3 linked regions of the Notamacropus eugenii genome follow. The protein of the gene in region 1 interacts with the protein of each later gene in a pairwise test. Links are inferred from orthologs where the notes say so. Each region holds a gene or a part of one and is shown in the gene's direction. Other genes may lie near its edges.

Region 1 (7,059 bases):
AAGCTGGATTAGATTGATAGTGGTGAAAATAAAAAGCTGTGGTTAGATATGGGAGATATTGTAGAAGTAGAATCACTGGGATTTTGCGACTAATTGGATATGAAAGGTGAGAGAGAGGGAATAATCAAAGATACTACCAAGGTTTTGAATACAGGACAATAGGTGAATAGTGGTGCTACTGACAGAACTGGTGAAACCCAAAGAAAAAGCAAGTTTTGATGAATAGATAAACTCAGCTTTGGAGGAGGTGAGTTTGAAGTACTAGGGAGGCATTCAGATGAGGAATATCCTGCCGGAATGGGGAAAAGCGAATCTGAGACCTTGAGAGAGGTCAAAGCTGGAGGCCTTATGGTTTCAGAGACTATCTGTATTAAGGTGATAATTGAAATCATGGGAGCTAATGACATTTTTAAGGGACAAAGTAAAGAACAAAGGACTGATAAAATCTTTTGAGATCCAAGAGAGGCTAAGGAGTCAGCAAAGGAGGAGAAAAAGAAGATATGGTTGGAGGGGTAATGCCAAATGAAAGAGTGAGGTCAAAGAACATGAGAACTGGGGTAAAGATGATTTGATGTCACTGGTGTGCTTAAAATAGTTTTAGTAGAGAAGGAATAGAAGCCTTGTTGACAGGGATTGAGAAGAGAGTGGGTAATAAAGAAGTGCAATTGGAAGAATTGAGTTCTTCAAGACTACTTCAAGAAATTCCTACTTGCTTGGGGGAGTAGGGTCAAGGAAAGGGCTTCTTTTGGGAATGAGGAGACCTAGATATATTTGTATCTACATAGGAAGAAGTCAGTGAAGCATGAGAGATAACAGACTCAAACAGAGAATGGATGATTTTTTTATACCCAATATTCCTTTCCTTAAATTACCATGAATGCTAAGAGATTTTCACTTTTTGCCAAAGTTTTCTAGGTTTCTATTTCACTATTCAGATTTTCCTTGTTGATTACAATTAGTGGCAAAATAGCAGTTTTCTTCACTGTATTCTCAGTACTACACTAACCCTCTGCTTGGTTTCCCCATATGCTCTTCCATTTCAATGCCTAGTCATCACTCCAGATTAGGCATTTTAACATTTACCCTTCAAGAATATCAATACCTTACTATAATATTGAGTGGGATAGGTTTAGTGAAGACTTCTCAGATTGTAATTCTTCTCCCAGGGGTGAGGTAAGACCTAGAGGCTCAAGGTTACAATATTTTTAGAATAGAATAGTTCCATATAAGGATATAAAACTGTGTAGTATATTAGGGTCTCAATGATTGGATAAAACTTACATAATTCCTCGATGTCTTCATTTCAAAAGGGATTGGTTAGATTTTGTGTCTAGAATGTAAGATCATATTCTCAGCTAATGAGGATAATGGTCAGTGGGGGAGGAGGGACTTGCGTTAGGGTCTATATAAATCACTGCCTTTTCTTTGTCTTTGTCTTTCCTACTCCAGATGAACTGGTGTAGGATTGTCCCGATTCTCGAGAATCTAGTAAATAAACTTTCTGTCATCACTTTGAGAGGCCTCTGAGTAACTGATTTAAGTAGGGACCTGAGCCATCCCACACAATATCAAGTCAAACTTCTCATTTCCTAGAATTCAAGTTTTTCCTTAGAGGCTCTAATTCTTATCAATCTGACTTAATCTCCCACTTTTTTTGGAGGGATCCAAAACTGTAATTTCACATCTTTGATAATTCTTGGCAACTAGAACTCACTGATGCAGATTGGAATAATTTTGTAACTTATAGGCTAAAGTGTGTGGACACAGGCCTTCCAAGGTAAAGTGACTCTCCCATCCATGGTCACATTGCTGGTATATGTCAGAGACAGATCTTAGACCCAGGTCTTTCTGACTCCTCTATTAAATCTCTATCCAGTAAGTCACATTGTCTCTCATTTCCCTTGGTTCCCACTTTCTAGTTTTCATAGCACTTTCTTTACAACAGCCAGATAAGGTGGGTAGTACAGTTATTATTATCCACATTGTTTTTTTTTTTTTTTAGAAAAGGGTAGCTTGTAAGTACCAGCACTTTGATCATATTGACTTTTTCCCAGTTTTTTTGTCCCTTTAGCAATCTGAATGGAGTGTGGAACTATCTTTTTTCTTAAAGTTAGCAGCCTAAAGACTAGTATCTCTTTTCTCATAAGTTCTCATCAATGCTTTCCGTGATATAGGTAAGGAGTATTGAATAATTAATCTCCACCAACGAAGAAAGACTTACACTAATGACTTTGAGCCACGTTACTTTATCAAAACATTTTGTTTTAAGAAAATTTCAACAAACTCCTCATATAATTTAAGAAAACCCCCCAAACCAGTCCCCCCAAATATTAAGAAAAATAATACCAAAAAGTACAAGATTGGACAAGCAGCCATGCACTTGTTTGCCATTTTAAAAAAGAAAGGGGAGATGCATGCTGCTACTGACAGAACTGGTAAAACCCAAAGAAAGAGCAAGTTTTGATGAATAGACAAGGAGGAGGTGAGTTTGAAGTGCTAGGGAGGCATTCAGGTGAGGAATATCCTATAGGCATTTGGAAAAGTGAGTCTGTGATCTTGAAAGAGGTCATAGTTAGAGGTATTATGGTTTCAGGAGCCATCTGAATCAAGTTGATAAATGAAATCATGGGAGTTAATAACATTACCAAGGGAGAGAGTAAGGGTCAGTTTTCTAGACAGGAATCTCAGGGTTCAAGCTCTCTCTATGACACATACTAGCTATGTGACCATCTGTCCATTTCAGTGACCATCAGTAAGTCACTTATACTCAGCGAAACAGGAAATTTTCTAAGATTATAAACATACATTTTTGTAGAGGAGTGGCCAGTCTGAATATGTGGAAGGAGTTTCCACACTAACAGTTTAGCACATTGATGAAATCATTGGTTTAGATAGAAAAAAGAAAGAAAAGTAGCTTATGTACTGACTTAGCACCTCCCCCCCCCCAAAAGATGGGAGGGCCCCCAGCATCTGTGTGCTTCAATTTTGATATGGCAATAATACCAATATTTACTTTCATATTTATCTGAGATTTGTTGCTCTTTAATGTCTTTGTTTATTTCATTGAAGTTAGAATGTTTATTTTCCTTTGATTTTGCTTTATTTTGTATAGATTCAGTTTGAATATTTCACCATTTCTTCAAACTGGCAAATTCCTTATGGCTACGGAATCCACATACATCCACATGCCACAATTTATTAAATCACAAAGCTTGTGTCCAGCTTTTTAGCTATTACAAATAGTTCTGGTACGAATATTTTTGCAGATTGGTCTTTTCCTACCAATTACTACCCCAGGTTAAAAGCCTAATAGTGGGTTTGTTGGATTAAAGAGTACAAAATTTTTTGTTACTTTTATTGTATAATTCTATATTTCTTTCCAAAATTCTTAGTAAATTCATAGCTCCATTAGCAGTGAATTTTTAGATTGTCAATTTTCCAAAGTCTTGCCAGCAACTGATTTAAAAAAAAATTACTATTTATGTGAATTTGATGTCTTTTAAAGTGACACTTAAGAATTAAGCTAATTTGTATTTTTATTATTCATTCAAATTACTTGTGTTGAAGTGGACATTATTTCCCCTCCCCCCCTAGAGCCCCTGGGTTGAGAAATGTCTGTTGAGTTTCTAGGCAGGGTTGGGCCTAGTAGCCACTTACTATTAGTGGCTACACTTTCTGTTGTACCCCTTTGCCTAGCAGCTGCCTGGGCCCCCCTCTCTGTTGTACCCCTTTGCCTAGCAGCTGCCTGGGCCCCCCTCTCTGTTGTACCCCTTTGCCTAGCAGCTGCCTGGGCCCCCATCTCTGTTGTACCCCTTTGCCTAGCAGCTGCTTGGGCCCCCCTCTCTGTTGTGCCCCCTTGCCTAGCAGTACCTAGGAACCCCTGTCAAAACTGTTCTGTGAAAAATGTGAGCTACTGGAACCATAAGGCTGTACCGGGAGGTGCTAAGATGCTTAAAAGGCACACACACCTTTGTTCAGGGCTGCCACCTTTGTGGACAGCCACTGGCTAAGACACTCCCAAATTCTCAATTAACTCTTGCCTGTGCTTGTCTCGGTCTGTCCATTTCAGTGTGAACTTATGTTTCTTTTGAAAAATGCCTATTCAGTTGCATATACTCTCAGACTTGATTGATGTGCTGGTGAGTTTTTCTAAATTGCTTTTTTTCCCTAAGTTCTCTCTTTTTATTCATCTTTTAAAAAACTGTTATAGGGAATGACTCAAGGGAGAGGAGGAAAGATAGCAGGAATATATTTGGTAATGAAGGTGATATAAAAATTAAAGATACCAATAAAGTAAAATAAAAGGAAAAGGCCTGTTCACAGCCCTTGACCACTTATCTATCAGGAGGAATTTCTCCTAACCTTATAAATCTATGCCAGTCCCTATAGATTTTACATGTCAGACTTTCAGCAGAAACGTTTAATTGCAAAAATTTTCCCCCTACTCTGTAGTTCAATCTGTTTATGTGCATGGTTATAACTGGTAAGTGTGCTTTTCCCTCCTCCACATCCTGTTGCTTGTTAAGTCTGCTTTTTCAGTCAGATCACTAGTATCATTCTCTTAGAATGATCATAGACTCTCCATACCCTCACATCTCTTCCTATAACCTCAAGATTCTGGGATTCTACTTTTATTGATAGAATCTTTTCAAAACTCCTCATGCCCTTTCTCTAGTTCAGATAGAAAGGTGTTTTAAAATGTTTCCCTCTATTCTCATTCTTCTGTTTCTCTGTTGTTTTGTTCTTTATCCGTGGCCCCCATATTCAAGGTACAACATTTTTCCTCTTTCCTCATTTTATTACTTCTTTTTGATTCCTTAAGCATTTTAAAAGTGTCTACGTTGTCCAAGGAACTAAGTGTTGGGGATATAAAGACAAAACAGTGCCAAAGGGAGACTAGACTAAAGATGAAACATACCATATGGTTTGAAGGAAGTGAAGATGTTTAGTCTATGGAAGAAGGTAAAGCCAGGGGAAAAGGATAATTGTCCTTTCAACTCTGTAAGTTTAGAAGTGAAGAGGCCTGGCTGGACTACATTTCATTTGATAAGGACTTCACAAGCACATTCAGTATGATCTGACTCTCTAACCTGGCAGCCAGAATCTCAGGTTGCATTGACAGAGGAAGTCTCCAGGTCAAAGAAGTGAGTAGTCCCACTGAACTCTGCCCTAGGCTTAGATGTATGGAGTATAGGTTTAGTTTGGGGTGTTCCATTTTGGGTGAAGACACTGACAAGCAGAAACATGTGCAAAAGAGGAAAACGAGAATGATGATAGAATTTGTGATGGGGGCTGGAACTGCACCTGTAATATCATTGGAGTAGGGAAATTGTCAGGTGAGGAAATTCCCTCTACCAATGCAAGTTGCTTGTCGTTGGATTTCCCAGTAAGGAGGGTCATAATTGTGTCAGAGCTGATGCTCCTTCCACTATTGTTAGAATTACTAATTAATAATAGAAATTATTAGAATGTAATCTTGTAAGTAGGGATTGTTTCATTCATTGTGATGGCATTTTAAGTTAGTCAATTAGCACTTTGTGGTAGGCATGGTGCTAAAGGATAGGGATGTAAAGAAAGTCAAAAGACAATCCCTGATCTCAAGGAACTCATGATCTAGAGAGAGACGACATGCAAAGAGGGGCAACTGGTGGTGCAGGAAACAGAGCAGTCAGGAAGGCCTCAGACATTTATTGGTTGTGTGACTTTGGGCAAATCACTTAACCCTGTTTGCCTCAGTTTCCTCCTCTGTAAAGTGGCAGACCACTCCAATATCTTTGTCAAGAAAACTCCGAATGGGGGTCAAGAAAAGTCAGACATGACTGAAATGAGTGACACATGCAAACAACTATGTACAAGGCATATTCAGGATAAAGGTAGGGTAGTCCCAGAGGGAAAGCTCCACAGGGAGGCCTGGGAAAGGCCTTCTGCAGCAGGAGTGATTTTTAGCTGAAACTTGAAGGAAACCCAGGGAGGCCAGGAAGGGATTGGGGGGATGAGGTGCAAACGCAAGAAAAGCCCTATGTAGAGGAGCATAAGCCTAGAGCTCTATAGGCCACAAAGCCAGGGACTATTTTTCTAAGAAACAAATCCCTTCCTCAGCAGAGTCAAAAGTTCAGTAAAAAAAAAAGTCCAGTCAAGACATCTCTGCCCCGCCCCTCTAACTCCGCCCCTAACGAGACCCCGCCCCTTCCTCACCGTTCCCGCCCCCAAGCAACAACCTGCCCCCCCGCTCAGGCCTTCCAAGCCCCGCCCCCCACGCTTCCGCTAAGACCTCCTCAGACCCGCCCCTCGGGCCCCGCCCCCTCGGCTCCGCGGCCCCGCCCCTCCGCGGCCTCCGCCTCAGCGTCCGCCTCTTATTAGGCTGTCCCCTTTCCCAGGCTTTCGCACCGCGCTTCCTCGGCCTGTTGAAGGAGGGCGAAGGGACAGCCGGGCGTATTCGGCCCGGGCTTGCCCGCCCGCCCGCCCGCCATGGAAGGAGAGGGATCCGTTTCCCGAGGCTACCAGCCAGCCAGCCCGCCCCGGGACGCCTGCACCTACAGCAGCTGCTACTGGTAAGGGGCCCGAGCCCCGCCCCCGCCCCCGCCCCGGACCGGCCTAGGTCTGTCGTAGGCGCCTTCCCTGGGCCCGGCCCTGCGCCGCCCTGGCCCCGCCCCTGGCCCCGGGCACCCCCGAGCTTCTCCGCGCTCGGCCCGGGCGTGGCTTCGGGTTCTGCGGAGAGGCTTCTAGGCCCCGGAGCCGAAGCTCATCCAGGCCAGCCCCCGCTCCCTACCACCCTTTCGTCTTACAGATGGGGAAACTGAGGCTGGGAGCGCTCGCCTTCCCTTCATTCAGTAACGGGAGGGGGACTCGGATCCCAGCGGCCGAGGTGGCTGCTAACCAGGACGGAGTCAGGATTTGAATCCAGGGCTAACGGCTCCAGAGCTCTGGTGGTTCTCCCTGCTGGCGACGACAGTAACTCTTTCCGGGTAGAGAGATGGAGCTGGGAGGGACGGGCTGTTTCATGGCAGGGCCTTATCGTAAATATAACTTGCGGGCGGCGAGGCGCCGAGAATACTTAGA
Region 2 (7,636 bases), on another chromosome or scaffold:
GAACTTGGACAAATTATTTAACTTCTTTTGGCCTCAGGTTCTTGTCTATAAAATAGAGGTTTGGACTCATTGACCTTTAAGGTCTCTTTAAGTTAAATCTATGTTCCTATATTTAGAGTTCTATGATATTGTGACATAGTCACTCACATTTGCATAGTCATAAAGTAAGCAAGTAGAACAAAAGAATGGCTAATATTGTTCACATCAACACATAATAATTTAGATTTTACACAGTGCGTTTCTTCAGAGTAGCTTTTTGAGGGAGGAAGGGAAAGTATTTTTCCATTTTCCAGAAAATATTAAGACTTTAGGAGGCTAAAAGACTTGTTCATGACGGTAGAGCTGGTTAAGAGCTAGGATTGGAACCTGAGTCTCCTAACTTTAAATCTTAAGCTATTTCTATTCCATCATGCAAACATGGGTTCATTTCCTATTTGATGTATTCCTTATTAGTCAAAATAATATAATTCAGTTCTGTTCATTGCAAAAGCAGTCTTTTTTTTTGTTGCATAGTCTCAACTCAAGTATTTTAAAAATTGCTTTCTTTCCCTGTTTTAGAAATACAAGTCCTTTCTAAAGACAAGAAACTATCATTTATTGTAGTATTTTCCATATGAAACACTCAAAATAGTATTCAAATGATAACTTTTCCTTAGAATATTCAGGTGTAATGCAGGATTGTTGTAGCAACAAGTTCTCAAACACTTTGGCATGAATATTGCTAATGAATATATGTTCTCAATATATATTATTGGAACAAAGTAGTAACTTTTTGTTGGATAAATGGATATCCTTGCAGACATTCTAGGTGCAAAAAAAATATCTATTTGGCTCTTAGCATATGTATATACAATTAGTTAAATATTATACAATGTCTTATTTTCTTTGTCAAAGTGGACCCACACTTTATGACACCCAGGAAATTTTGTTCCTTGAGTAGTCTTGTGATAAGACAAAAACTACAGCTACAATTGATCATAAAGGCAGTATAGAAAGAGCATGAACTGGGGAGACACAAGACCTGGAGAGTCACGTGATATTAGATGAAGTCATATGATTCCCTTCTCGGTTTCCCTTTCTTCATCTATAAAATAATGGTAACAATTACTCTACCTGGTCTAATAAAGATTAATCTTTTATATGATAGAAAGGTGATTCAATAGCTATTGTGTACCAAGCTCTGGAACTAGAAAGACTTCTAACATAAACAGTCCTTTAAAAGGCATAACCAAAAAAAAAAAAAAAGACTCCCAATGTTTAGATTCAATAATGTGTTCTAATTTTTTGATTACATTAAATACTTTGATATACGACTAGAAATTAAAGCTACAGAACAAATTTAGACACTCGTGATAAAAACAGTGAAATTTTAACATTTTCCTAGGGAAACAACTTTTAACATAAAAACATGGACATATTTGCAAAAAAAAGCTTAGGTATGTGTTGAGAGGTTAAGTTCAAGATTTAAGCATTTTGTTTTCTGGTTGTTCCTTTCCTTTTTAAGGGTTATTATTCATAGACACTATAATGACAGCTGGAAAACATAGGGTATTTGTATTTTTGAGGCTGTAGATCTTTTTGCTTAAGTCCTGAGACCTTGAGTTCTGGGACCCCTGGCTTAGAGACCATATTTTAACAAGAATTTAACAAGAACAAGAACCGACTGAATCAGAATCACAGCAATGCAAAATTGAAAGTGTCCTCAGAAGTCATTCATTCCTATCCATAACTAAATGTTATATATAACACCATATAAGTGGTCATGAAACCTTGCATTTAGATTCAGCCTACCTACTTATATGCTACTCTACTTTTTGGAAAGCTCTGTTTGCTTCATAGAACCCAAGACTTCCATGCAGTGAAGTTTGAAAACCAATTTTTAAAGAAATGGCACTTGTAATATCCTCCCACTTTTTACTAGTATATTTGTTTATTAGTGTTTTATTAGTGTCAGAGGAGTAGATGCTCTCTCTTGGATACTTAAATAGCTCTTTTCCACTATGAACTTTGGGTTACAATTTAATTTAGTCTTATATGACCTTTTTTGTCTTAGACCAAATATTAGGACGATGTTAAGAGGGCCCCAGGTGATGTGAAACTGTTCTGTTTTGAATAACATATAAAACAGCTCTAAATCATGTTTTGTGACTGCAAGAATATTTTCTCTCAAGCCCTGGAGAAACTGTATTTGGCCTATCTGCATTCCACAAGGAGTTTCCATCAGTTAAGATAGTTTCCATTTCCCATTTGAAAACTGTTGAAAAAACATGATGGAAATTTGCATTTCAAAAATTGATAGCAAGGCCATTAACTAAGAGTATCATTTGCAAAGGCTTTGAGGGAAAAAAAAAAGGATGAGCTTTTTTTTTTTTAAGTAAAAATACACCCAGAGACATGGATAGTGAATACAAAAATACAATCTTTGTTCATGTGATATTTCCATTTGGTCAGCCCTTCAAGCTATGGGGTGGGGCAGAAAGAATCAGAAAAAAATAGGCTGACAAAGATCAGTCCAAAGTCAGGAATAAGCACCTCAAAAGACAACTGAGCTCATGGGGCGGTGCATTTCAACTTACACTTCGAAAATGCAGCTCCTGCAAAGGAGTTACATTGTTACCTCGTATGAAACTGAACGGAGGTCTAGAAAGCTTAACTGTTCTACCCGGATGTCTCGGTCCTAAGTCTACCTTCCACGTTCTTCGGGCTCCCACCGCCCCTCCACATGCTTTTAGCCTCAGTTACTAAACAAATATCTCCTCTCAGAGGTCACCCAGTCCTGCCCTTTCTGGGCCAGGGAAGGGAGAGGACCGGCTCTAAAACGAGGAAGTCTGGGGAGGCAGGCTTTGGTTTGGGTCCCTGACATTCCCACCTGGGCTGGGGCTTTCTGGGAAGCTGCTTCGTTTCCAAATGCCCAGACCACCGAGGCAAGGGCTTCCCAGACGGGCGAAATCTGGGATTTTTCTGACGAGACCCTCAGTCATTCCTCAAGGCATCCCTCACGTGTTCTCGTCTACACTGGGGTTCTTAACGTGGGCAGGAAGCGCTTCCTGGCCCCGCTGCCCTCCTCCTGTCCGGTGGGATCGCTCGATCCTAGGACACCTCTGAATTCGTCTGGTAACCGCGGGAGGGTTTGCTGGTCTGACGCTGAGGAGAGCGGCCAACCTAACCGCACTGAATGTGGGTAACAGGGTTAAGTTACAGTTAAGTGTGGAGTTACAGTGTAACGCCCGTTGTAGAGACCAGACGAGTAACAGTCCTCATCGCGGTCGTCCTGGCCCCGCACTGCAGGAGACGGGGCTCCACCTGCGGAGGTGTCGATGCGCCTCCCTCCGCACGCTGCCCGCCCGCAGAAGGGACCGCATGGCAGCTGCGCTCTGGCCCACACAAAGGGGACCCCTTGGCGGGAGCTCGGGGGCCAGGTGTCGCCCGTCACGCCAGGGGCGTGAAGGAGGATCCGAGTGCGCGCGCGCGCGTGTGTGCGTAGAGGGGGGGCCATGCAGGCGTGGGCATCCTCCACACGGGGAAGGTGGCAGAGGAGGGAGAAAAGCCTGACTCATGTGGTGGCTTGGGGACTCCTGGGAAGCAGAACTCGTGATGCGCCCGCTGCGCCGCGCTGCAGAGAAGAACCCCATTCTGCCACGGGCCCGCTCCAGGCACATGGCCCGGCGGCCCGCCCCGCCCCGCCCCTCCCCTCCCCCCTGCACTGCAGAGGGCCCCCCTCCCCCCTCGCCGGGGCGCGTGCACGCGCACACACGCCCCAAGCGCGAAGGGAGCGAGGACACACCTCGGCCGCTCGCGCCCGCGCCCCCCTCTCACTTCATGCCCCACCCCACCCCATACTGGCAGCATCACGCTGTCCGCCCCGGATTCGCTCCCCGATCTCCAAGTCCCCGCCCCCACCGCGCCGGCGCCTGGGCATCCGACTCTGGCCTTCGGTAGTTTCCGTCAAGAGCACCCGAGCTCGGCTGCCGCCTCGGCGGGTCTTCGAGTCCCCGAACACCGTCTCTCCTCTACCCTCCCCGCCCCCTCCCGCCTCGTCCGGCCCCGCCCCTTCTCCTCGCCAGGCGAGGCTTTATGTCTGCGGCGCCAGAGCGCCTGCGCAGACGCCATCTTCCTCGGCCCCCTCCCCCGGCCGCCGCTGCCTCCTCCTCCTCCTCCTCTTCTTACCGCCGGACGCTCCTCCTCCTCCTGCGCCCGGGCTCGGGAGCCCGTCCCTCCTCTTCCAATGCCGTGAGAGACAGTGGGGAAGACGGCGTAGCCGGGGCAGCCTAAGGAGAGCTCTCGTAACCAGCCCCCCCCCAGCCGCCCCCTCCCCAACCCCCGGGCGCACCCGACACCCTGCCCCCATCCCGCTCCCTGCCCCTCCCCTGGCCGCCCCCACCTCCTGCTCCATTCAGCGGCGCCCGTCCGTCCGTGGGTAGTCCCGGCCCGGCGAAGCCGCCGCCGCGGAGAGAAGCCTCACGCCCCCTGGCTGCTGCCTGCCTGCCCGCCCGCCTCCTCCCCGAGGGCCGAGGACCGGAGCCGCCGGGCTGCTGGCCCGGAGGGAGGAAGATGTTGGGGCTCCGCGGCTGCCAGTGATGGAGCGGTCCCTGCGCTCCCCCCGCCCCCGCCCGCCCGGCCGCCGCTGCTCCTGCCGCCGCCGCCGCCGCCCCCCGGCTGGGTGCGAGGATCGTACGTATCTCTCCCTCCCCCCTTACCGGCCTCCCCCCAGCTGCAGCCGCCGCCGCCCCCTCGGCCCTCCCCGGCCGGCCCAGCGGCCCCGGCTCCGCTGGGTTCCCGGCTGAGCCGCCGCGGCGGCGGCGCCCCCGGAGCAGCTTCCAGCCTAGCGGTGGGGGAGGGGGCGGGGGGAGGGGGAGGCACCGGGCTTTTAGCTGCTCCGGCCTGGCCTCCGGGCGTGCCTTTCCCGGGGCAGCCCTTTGGGGTTGGGGCGGGTGGAGGGGTGGCCGCCGCCGCGGCACCGCGGCGGGGGTGGCGGAGGGGGCGGGGGCGGCGGCGGGGGTAGGGGCGGCGGGGGCAGCGGTGGTTTCCAAGTTGGCCGGATAACGTGGGCATTTCTCTCTCTCCCCCCTCTCCTCTTCTTCAGTCTGCCTGCCTCCTTCCTCTACCTCCCCCCACCCCCTCCTCCCCTAGTGAAGCGGACTGTATAAAAGGGGGTGGAGAGGACCAGAAGGAAAAGTGAATGGCCGAGGACCGGTAGTGCCCCCCATTCTTGCCTTGTCCCCCCCGCCGTCCTCCGCCTGCTGAGCGCAGAAGGCCCCGGCGGCGCAGCGGGGACGGTGCCTCCGGCCCCTGCGCTGTGAACACAAAGCTCCCCGTGCGGTGCAGACACAATGCACCAGCCGCCCGAGGCCACGGCCGCCGCCGCCGCCGCCGCAGACCTCGGGGCTCGGAAGATGGCGCACCCGGCCGCCGCGGTCCCTCGGAGGGGCAGCAGCAGCGGCGGCGGCCCCGCGGGCCCCTCGGCCGAGGACTACGCGCCTCCCGCGCCGCTGCCCGGGGCGGCGGCCGCTGGGCCGGGGCCGGCGCCGCCGCCGCCCCCGCAGAGCCTGCACCTCCTCCCGCAGGCCCCGCAGCTCCCCGCCGCGCCCGGCGGGGCGCAGATGAAGAAGAAGAGCGGCTTCCAGATCACGAGCGTGACGCCGGCCCAGATCTCGGCCAGCATCAGCTCCAACAACAGCATCGCCGAGGACACGGAGAGCTACGACGACCTGGACGAGTCCCACACGGAGGACCTGTCCTCCTCCGAGATCCTGGACGTGTCCCTTTCCAGGGCCACTGACTTGGGGGAGCCGGAGCGGAGCTCCTCCGAGGAGACTTTGAATAACTTCCAGGAGGCCGAGACCCCTGGGGCGGTCTCTCCCAACCAGCCCCACCTTCCTCAGCACCATTTACCTCACCATCCACCCCAGAATGTCGTGATCAATGGCAGTGTTCATCCACACCATCTCCATCATCACCACCACCACCACGGGCACCACCTTCACCATGGGCACCACCATCCATCCCATGCTGGTGTCAGCACGGCTGTTCCTGGAGGGCCACCCCCAAGTCCGGTGTCTAGAAAACTCTCCACAGCTGGAAGTTCAGACAGTGTTTTACCAGCTGCACCACCTTCTGCTGTATCATCCACTGGCACACCTGCATCTCTAATGACTAATGTCCGCAATACGAATGCTCCTGGCAGTCTAGGTATAAATTCTGTTACGGGCACTAACACAATAAATAATGTTAACGTTACTGCAATGGGTAGTGTTAATCCTAACATGACGAACAGCATGCCTGGTAATGTTAACGTACCTTCCAGTAACGTCCCAAGTACTGCTAGTGTAAATGCTGTGCCCGGAGCTAGCACCAGTGTTAATGTGAATATCCTAAGTGGCATGGGCAATGGTACTAATTCTTCTGTTAACAATGTTCCTACCCCAGCTGCAGGAATGGCTGCGGGATCTGTTTCAGCTCAGCAGCAACAACCAGCGGCTGGCACATCAAGGTTTAGAGTTGTGAAATTAGATTCTAGTTCTGAACCCTTTAAAAAGGGGAGATGGACTTGCACAGAATTCTATGAAAAAGAAAATCCCATAGCAGTTACAGAAGGAGTAGCGGTAAACAAAGTGGTGGAGACTGTAAAACAAAACCCAGTTGAAGCGACCTCTGAAAGGGAGAGCACTAGTGGGAGTTCAGTTAGCAGTAATGTGAGCACATTGAGTCACTACACAGAGAGTGTGGGGAGTGGAGAGATGGGGGCCCCCGTTGTGGGCCAGCAGCAGCCAGCCCTCCCAGGTGTGGCCCCACAGCCCGTGGATTTCAGTAGTGGTCCTGGTGCACAGGGTGTATCAGCAACTAGTCTACCACAGAGTATTTCTCAGTCTCAGATTGCCCCGGTGCAGTTGCATTCTCAAGAGCTGACCTATGCTTCGCAAAAGCAGGGAAGTCAGCCTCCTCTGCAGGCCAGTAGAAGTGCTGCGGCTGGCATTCAGTCGCCCCCAGTGAATCTGGTTGGTGTAGCACCATCGTTAGGCCAACAGCCTCCCGTTTCCAGCTTGGCTCCGTCCCAGTCGTCCTATTCTCAGACCCCTTTGCCAGTTGTAGCACCGCCGCAGTTACAATACGGACAGCAGCAACAAACTGTGGCCACACAGGTGGCTCCGGGCCACATCCAGCCAGTAAATCAAAATCCCATCGCTGCAACTATGCCAGAGTATGTTCAGCATCAGCAAGTTCTCCAGACACCAGTGCCCCCTGTCCCACCAAATTCTGCAGGAGTGGCAGCAGCCTCAGCGATGCCTGTTGCTCATTCACAGAGCATTCAGCCTTCAGTGCAATCCACCACAGCCCAGGCACAGCCTGCAGGGGCTGTTGGACATGGCCAGCCAGCAATGCCTCCTGTAGCTGCTAGTGGTCAAGTTGTGAATGTTGGTCAGCAAGTGAACATCCCAGCTGTGCTGCAGCAGCCGGCCACCGTCACCCAGGTGACACCTCCGCCTTCTCAGCCTGGGATCATTCAGGGAATTCAAGCCAGTGCTTCAAACCTTCCTCCACAGCTGGTCGTTGCACCTCAAAGCAGCTTGATAACTGTACAGCCCCAGGCTCAAGGAGCAGAATCTGTGGCTCAAGGAGCAGAATCTGTGGCTCAAGG
Region 3 (6,963 bases), on another chromosome or scaffold:
TTGCTGGAGTCATGCTCTTACTAAGCTTCAGAGGCAGGATATGAACCTAGGTCCTCCTGACTGTGTCATGTACCACACCAGATTAGGAGAAAAGCCCTTTGTAACTTTTACAAGGCTGTGTACATGTGTGTGTTATGCATGCATGCATGCAACACATACACACTACCTGTACATATGCATGTGTATGTGTGTAGAATACATTTATATTTCTATAGTATTATATATATTGTTCAATTTATGTGTATATATATATATTTCTATTTCAAGGTTACCCAGTCACCCTTCCCACCACCATAGACCACAGCTCCTCCGCACATCAGTACGCTATCATACATAGACTGTCATGACTTGCTCTGGCCCCAGAATGCCTTGTGCTGGTGCTGAGCCTTGTCCTGTGCTGATGAGCCTCTGCATACTTCTCAGAAAGCACATGCCATCTTTCCCCAGGCTTCTGCTGGAAATCTTTCCAGCTTGGTAGGGCCTGCTAGCACTTGCCACAAACAGACCTTCCCAGGCCCAGAGTCACCTCCATGACATAAAGTGGTGTCAGAGAAGGATGAGTAGAAATATGAGTTAGTTTGGCCTTTCTGGTTGAGGATTCCCTTTTGGTTTCTGACCTAAATCCCGTCCTTTCCTCTCAGGGCTGGTTTGGAGAGGGCCTGAACAGCCAATGGCCACCTGCCTTCCCCAGAATAACTCTTGAGTGCCAAAGCAAAGCCTGTTATTATCAGGTAAAACATTATTGGGTAGCCATGTGGCACTGAAGGCTGGGGCCCTGCCTTCCTAAAGGGGATGCTCTGCGCAGGGGAGGGAAGGCAGGATGGGGAAAGCAGCCGTTTCTGCTGACACAGGGCACTGAACAGGGTGCTCTCATGGAGCTGTACTGGGAGAGGCCGTCCAGACCTCCCTGAACAGCCAGGCCTGGACCTGCTGCCTCCTCAAGTGATAAATGGAGGCCTGGAGGCACAGGGAGGTGCCCAAGACAGGAACTGAGTCATAAGTCAGGGAGGTACAGAATCCAGGCAAACTGAGGAGCCTGAGAAAAGTTAAGGGGCTGCCCAAGGCCCCTAGCTGCTAGGGAATATAGGATATCTTACCTTGTCCAGAGTTAATAACTGCCTTTTAATGCATGCAAAATGTTTTACACTCAACCTTTCTCCTTTGGGCCCCAAGGATGGAACTTGAAGAATGAGAGTAAGGAGCTATCATAAAGATACTGCTGCATTTTATAGATGGGGAAACTGAGTCTCAGAGCTGAAGTGATATCGGATCATAGAACTAGAGCAGGGAGGCCATCTAGTCCAGCCCTTTTGTTTTACAGATAAGGAAACTGAGATTCAGAAGTGGGGACTTGTTGAAGGTCACACAGCTAGTAACTGTCTGAGGAATACTTTGACCCCAGCAATTCCTAACTCCAGAGACAGTACTCTATCCACTGTTCTAACCTGTCTCTGTCAAATGAGAGAAGGCCATGTTCAATAGGGGTTGGGAGGAGGGGTGGCAGTTTGGAGAGGTCAAGCATATATTGAGAAGGCTGTAAGACAATATTAATGATGAGAGGAGCCTTAGAGGTATCAAATTAAATTCTTTCATTTTGCAAATGTCCCTTGCCCCAGAGAAGGGAAGTGACTTAGGCATCCAGGTAGGCAGTGACAGTCTGGACCAGAAGCAGTCTCATGACTGACGGTCAACAGACATTTATGGAGCGCTGCTACGTGCTGGGCTCTGTACTACATGCTGAGTATTGGAAGAAAGGCAGAGAAACAAACCATACAACCCTAGACCCCACTTCAGAGGAGCTCACAGGCTGAGGGGGTGACCTACATGTCCAGGGGAAGCTGGGAGATTCTCGGAGGGAAGGCTTCACCATCCAGCATGAATTCCCTTCCATGGGCTGGGCTGTCATAGGATAACTGATCTGGGAAGGTACAGTGAGAAGCCAGGTTTCTGAATCCCTAGGGCCAGTCCTGCCCTCCTCCAGCACTGCTGCATCCGGAGATGGAGAAGCTGAGAATGAGTGACAAGCACTCCAGGAAGGTGCTGGAGAGGTCTGGAACCGATTTAGGCCAGGTAGAGGGAAGAGTGGTACCAAGACAGAACTGATCCCAGGATCAGCTCTACAGCTAGGAGGGCCCTTAGAACATAGGATGTCAGGACTGGGAGGGCCCTTAGAACACAGAATGTCAGAGCTGAGAAGTCTCTTAGAAAGAGCTGGGGGCACCTTAGAATACAGGATGTCATGACTACACATGTATAACCTAGGTTGAATTGCTTGCCTTCTCAAGAGGGTATGTGGGTAGGGAAGAAGGGAGACAAGGTTTTAAAAACAAATGCTAAAAAATTCTGTTTACGGTAACTGGGAAATAAGATATACAGGCAATAGGGTGTAGAAATCTATTGTGGCCTACAAGCAGTAAAGGGAAAAGGGATAGGAGGGGGCGAAAGAGGAAAGGGCAGACTGGGGAAAGGGGTAACCAGAATGCACACTGTCTTGGGGTGGGTGGAGGGGAGAGAGATGGGGAGAAAATTTGGAACTCAAAATCTTGAGGAAATTAATATTGAAAACTAAAAATAAACTAATTTTAAAAAAGAACACAGGATGTCAGAGCTAGAAGGGGTGGAGATGAGGTGGGGGACCCAGGTATTTAGAGCTACTTAATTTTATAGCTGAGGAAGCTGAGGTCTGTAGAGAAGAAGGTCTTGTTCAGTGTAACAAGGTCAGCAGCAGCGCTGAAATCCAAGCCCAGGTCCTCCGACTACAAGCCCAGTGGTCTGTCACCTACCCCAAAATCTCAGAAAGAAAACTAGGGACAAACCTTATCCCCTTTTCCTTCCCAGTAGAGCTAGCCTGGCTTGGAATCTCAACCCCTACACCAAGGATGCCTTGACGACGATGACTGGAGGAACTTCACCTCCACCCACGTGGATTCCTCCGGTGAGCAAGGTCTTTCTCACTTCTAACCAAAATCCCTCCTGATTCACCAAGAGTCTGCTCCCTCTGGCTAGGTGTGACTCTGTCTTTCCTCCTTAGCAAAGAGGCTGCTGTCATGAGCAGGGAAGGATGACTCCTAATGGGACATCAAACAGACTTGGGCAGTGGCTTCCCCAAGAACAGGTCATTTGCACCCATGTAGGTGGGTACTAAGAGAAGCCGGGGGAGGTAGGGCGCTGCTTGGTAGCCCTCGAACAGGGACCATAGAGGAACTGGATGAGAGAATCCCGGACAGATTCCCAAAGCAGGAAGCCTCACCCCTGAACACTAGACCTGCACTTTGTAGAGCTGTGGGGTGGGGCTATATGGGCAGGAGCCCCTTGGTGTTCAATAGCCACCACCGCCCCGTAGGCAATGTGCCAACTCCCTCGGGTGTGGCTCTCCGTTGAGGTGGAGTCAGAGCCCGGACTGGAAAGGAGGTGTGATCCACTGTGGCCTGAGGGCACAGAGAAGGGGTACTGCTACTTGCCCCCCTGCCCAGCAGGGGGCCATGAATAGAGGACAGGGGCAGAAAAAGATCTGTGAAATAAATTAGAAGTGGCTGAATAAAATCCCCATAAGAGTCCTCATATAACAAGACCTTGGCTATCCATGCTGTCACCACTGCCTCCCCTGGGAGTCAATACCGCCCCCCTCCCAGGAACTAAACTGGGCCTAGAGCCCAGGTGTCCTACTTGCCAGCCTCAGACAAATCAGTGGAGCCTGGCACTAGGTCAAAGGTGAGTCAGAGAGGAAAGTGGGGCAGCTGACGAAGTTGGGGACCCCACCCTCTCCAGGGCGCCCACATGAGCCTCCCTGATACTCTATGGCTTGGGAGGGTACTGCCAGACACCTAAGCTTGGAGCCCAGCCACAGCAATGTCCCTGGGGAAAGTCCTCCAGCTAGTGGGAGCTGGTTGCTCAGTTGAAAGGGAAAATTGCAGTGTAATGGGGATGGTATTGGGCCCAACTGGGTGGCTAATTACAAAGGATGGGCCTCCAGCGTCCTCGCTTGTTAAACTCATCTTTAAGTGGCACATTGAGATGCCACCTCAACAATCTGGGGGGGAGGGGAGGAGATTTAGGGAGCAGGGCTGTGGGGTCCTTGCTTAGCTCTGGAGGGCTTCTCAGATAGGAGTATGCCTAAGGCAGAGAGATGCCTGGGGCCCTCCCAGGAGGATCAGTAGGAACCAGCACTGCCCATTCCCCAGGGATATCCAATACAACTCCTGGCATATTGCAGGAGGCTGCCAGGCTGGGCCCACATGGTACCTGTGCCACAGGTGGAGTGCTTCCTCCAGTGTCTTCTAGACCCTGGCTAGGGGCTGAGTAAGGGCAGAGTTTGTTGGAGGGCATTCAGATATTCTGTGTTTAAAGTCAAAAGACCAGCTTTTATTAAAGGGGTGCTTTGTCCCGCAGACACAGTCTCTGTTACACACACCCCAGAGTGAGTGCACCCTGTTACTGAACCATCCACACACTCCCCCATCCCACCATTCACATCTGACCGTACAGACCCATAAGGGACTGACCATTCCTATTTCCTAAAAACTAATGGGGTTTAGCGATTTCAGGAAAACCTCAAGCTACTTTCTAAGCCTCCCACTCCCAGACTCCCTGGGTCGTGATGAAGAAGCCCATTATTGTCCGCGGTAACTGGGAGATCAACCTGGGGACCCAGAGCAGGCCCCTGAGCATTGCAGAGCCTGTGGGACAGAAGGCCCCGGGAGGCAGCTGCCTTAGGTGGGGCCCACGCCTGTCTTTCTCCGGTTGAGTATCCCCATGATGACTAATGCGCCTCCTGTCCTGGCCTCTTTACCTTTAAGGAGCAGCCAGGAAAAAAAAGAAAGAAAGAAAGAAAAGGGCCCAGGACTGGGGGAGGCAGGAGCCAGAGGCCCAGCCCCGCCTCCCGCCCAGCCCTGCCCCTCCCCACCCCTGCCAAAAAGCCGGGCTGAGAGGGAGAGGCTGAGCAGAGGCAGAGCCCAGGTGCCCCGGGATTCAGCGCAGCCCCGACCCAGCCCCAGCCCGAGCCATGGAGAGAGGCAGACTGATCCAGAAGGCCAAGCTGGCGGAGCAGGCCGAGCGCTACGAGGACATGGCCGAGTTCATGAAGGGCGCCGTGGAGAAAGGCGACGAGCTGTCGTGCGAGGAGCGCAACCTGCTGTCGGTGGCCTACAAGAACGTGGTGGGCGGCCTGCGGGCGGCCTGGAGGGTGCTGTCCAGCATCGAGCAGAAGGGGGCCGAGGAGGACAGCGCCGAGGCCAAGGAGCGCGAGCCCGAGGTGCGCGAGTACCGGGAGAAGGTGGAGGGCGAGCTGCGCGCCGTCTGCGGCATCGTGCTCGGCCTGCTCGACTCGCACCTCATCAAGGACGCGGGCGACGCCGAGAGCCGCGTCTTCTACCTGAAGATGAAGGGCGACTATTTCCGCTACCTGGCCGAGGTGGGCACGGGCGACGACAAGAAGAGCACCATCGACTCGGCCCGCGCCGCCTACCAGGAGGCCATGGACATCAGCAAGAAGGACATGCTGCCCACCAACCCCATCCGCCTGGGGCTGGCGCTGAACTTTTCCGTCTTCCACTACGAGATCGCCAGCAGCCCCGAGGAGGCCATCTCTCTGGCCAAGACCACCTTCGACGAGGCCATGACCGAACTGCACACCCTGAGCGAGGACTCCTACAAGGACAGCACCCTCATCATGCAGCTGCTGCGAGACAACCTGACCCTCTGGACGGCGGACAGCGCCGGGGAGGAGGGCGGCGAGGCACCGCCCCCCGAGGAGCAGCCCCAGAGCTGAGCCCCGCTCCCCGGCGCCCCGACGGCCCCTTCCGTTCCCTGTCCCCCGCCCCGGCCTGGCCCCCCTCGGGAGAGAGGACTTGTGTGTGGGGCGGGCCCCCGGATCCCTCTCCCTCCCTGCGCCCTGCCTCCTCCTCCTCCCCTCCCCAGCCCCTTAGCCCCCCAACCCTACCCCGCTGCGCGCCCCGGCTCTGGAGCGACTCAGACGCGAAAACGAGGGCAGCTGGGCAGGGAGCTCCGGGAGTCTCTCCGTCTAGGCCCAGGCTATCAGGGACGGTGGTGGCAAGAGCCCCCACGATCGTCCCAAGATCTCTGGCTCTCTGAGCTGGCCCCGGGGATCGCCCCCCCGGCGCTCTCCCTGTCATCTCCTGCCCCTGCTCCCTGTGGTTCTGAGGGATTGGGAAGTGCCAGGCCCTTAGGGGCTTGGGAGGGACTGGACTGGTGGGGCCCAGAGGTTGTGTGAGTGTGTTGGAGGAAGGAAGAGTGTGTGGATGTGTTTGGGTGACAGCGTGTGCTCGCGCGCTGGTGTGTGTGTGCGACTGTCAGAGAGCATGTCTGTCTGAGTGTGACAAAGTTCCTTCTCAATAAAGAAAGCTTCCCTGACACTCCTTTTGTCTTTTTGCCGTCTGCGTCGGAGGGGCAGGTGGGAAGGCTCACTTGATGGGGCGGGGCGGGGGAAGGTGTTGGTTCTGAGACCTGTCTTCTTTCTGGTTCTAGAGGCCAGCATTACCTGGCCCTCACCCCCAGGGGAGCTGGCCCATCCCAAGGAGCAGCCGGAAGGGATTTGGGGTAGATTACCTCAGAGTTAGGTGGGGTTGAGGGGTGGGGTGGGGCAGGGTTTTTTTCTAGTGACAGAATCCAAGGTCAGGGACTAACCCTCAGTCCCCAGGAGAGTTCACATCGGAACAGAGGATTTCAGAGGACTCCTTCCTCTTCCTCGAGCCCTAAGATAAGGATCCGTAAGAAACAGCCCTGGTGCTGGAGTGGGAGGAAAGTTGGACCTGAGAAAGCCAGATCTCGGGGTGGAGGAGAGGGGAGGCTAGGGCAGTGTTGAGAAGAAATGAGAGTGAAGTCAGATTCCAGGACAGGTGAGATGAGAAGCCACAGATCTGAAGGGAGGAGGAGAGAGAGAGGCAAGAAGTGAGACCATTCAGGTGGGAGGTGGAATTGAGACATCCCATACCCAAGGAACTGGAC

What was found. The genes of interacting proteins can lie anywhere in the genome.
Region 2: the proteins of NTAQ1 (region 1) and TSC22D1 interact in binary tests that used the Homo sapiens proteins (3 or more experiments, as listed by UniProt). The two-hybrid records come from large-scale screens. The link is inferred for Notamacropus eugenii from reciprocal best matches to the Homo sapiens genes NTAQ1 and TSC22D1.
Region 3: the proteins of NTAQ1 (region 1) and SFN interact in binary tests that used the Homo sapiens proteins (3 or more experiments, as listed by UniProt). The two-hybrid records come from large-scale screens. The link is inferred for Notamacropus eugenii from reciprocal best matches to the Homo sapiens genes NTAQ1 and SFN.

Annotation. Positions count from the first base shown.
Region 1 is NC_092875.1:120,994,263-121,001,321, reverse strand, and holds the start of NTAQ1 (protein N-terminal glutamine amidohydrolase), read left to right. Parts: upstream 1-3,970; 5' UTR 3,971-4,139; intron 4,140-5,011; 5' UTR 5,012-5,144; intron 5,145-6,302; exon of another isoform or gene 6,303-6,377; 5' UTR 6,378-6,468; coding exon 6,469-6,551; intron 6,552-6,651; exon of another isoform or gene 6,652-7,059. UniProt on the Homo sapiens protein: Mediates the side-chain deamidation of N-terminal glutamine residues to glutamate, an important step in N-end rule pathway of protein degradation.
Region 2 is NC_092877.1:295,069,220-295,076,855, reverse strand, and holds the start of TSC22D1 (TSC22 domain family protein 1), read left to right. Parts: upstream 1-4,544; 5' UTR 4,545-4,671; intron 4,672-5,083; 5' UTR 5,084-5,330; coding exon 5,331-7,636. UniProt on the Homo sapiens protein: Transcriptional repressor. Acts on the C-type natriuretic peptide (CNP) promoter. Acts to promote CASP3-mediated apoptosis.
Region 3 is NC_092876.1:67,974,303-67,981,265, forward strand, and holds SFN (14-3-3 protein sigma), read left to right. Parts: upstream 1-4,922; 5' UTR 4,923-5,002; coding exon 5,003-5,767; 3' UTR 5,768-6,371; downstream 6,372-6,963. UniProt on the Homo sapiens protein: Adapter protein implicated in the regulation of a large spectrum of both general and specialized signaling pathways. Binds to a large number of partners, usually by recognition of a phosphoserine or phosphothreonine motif.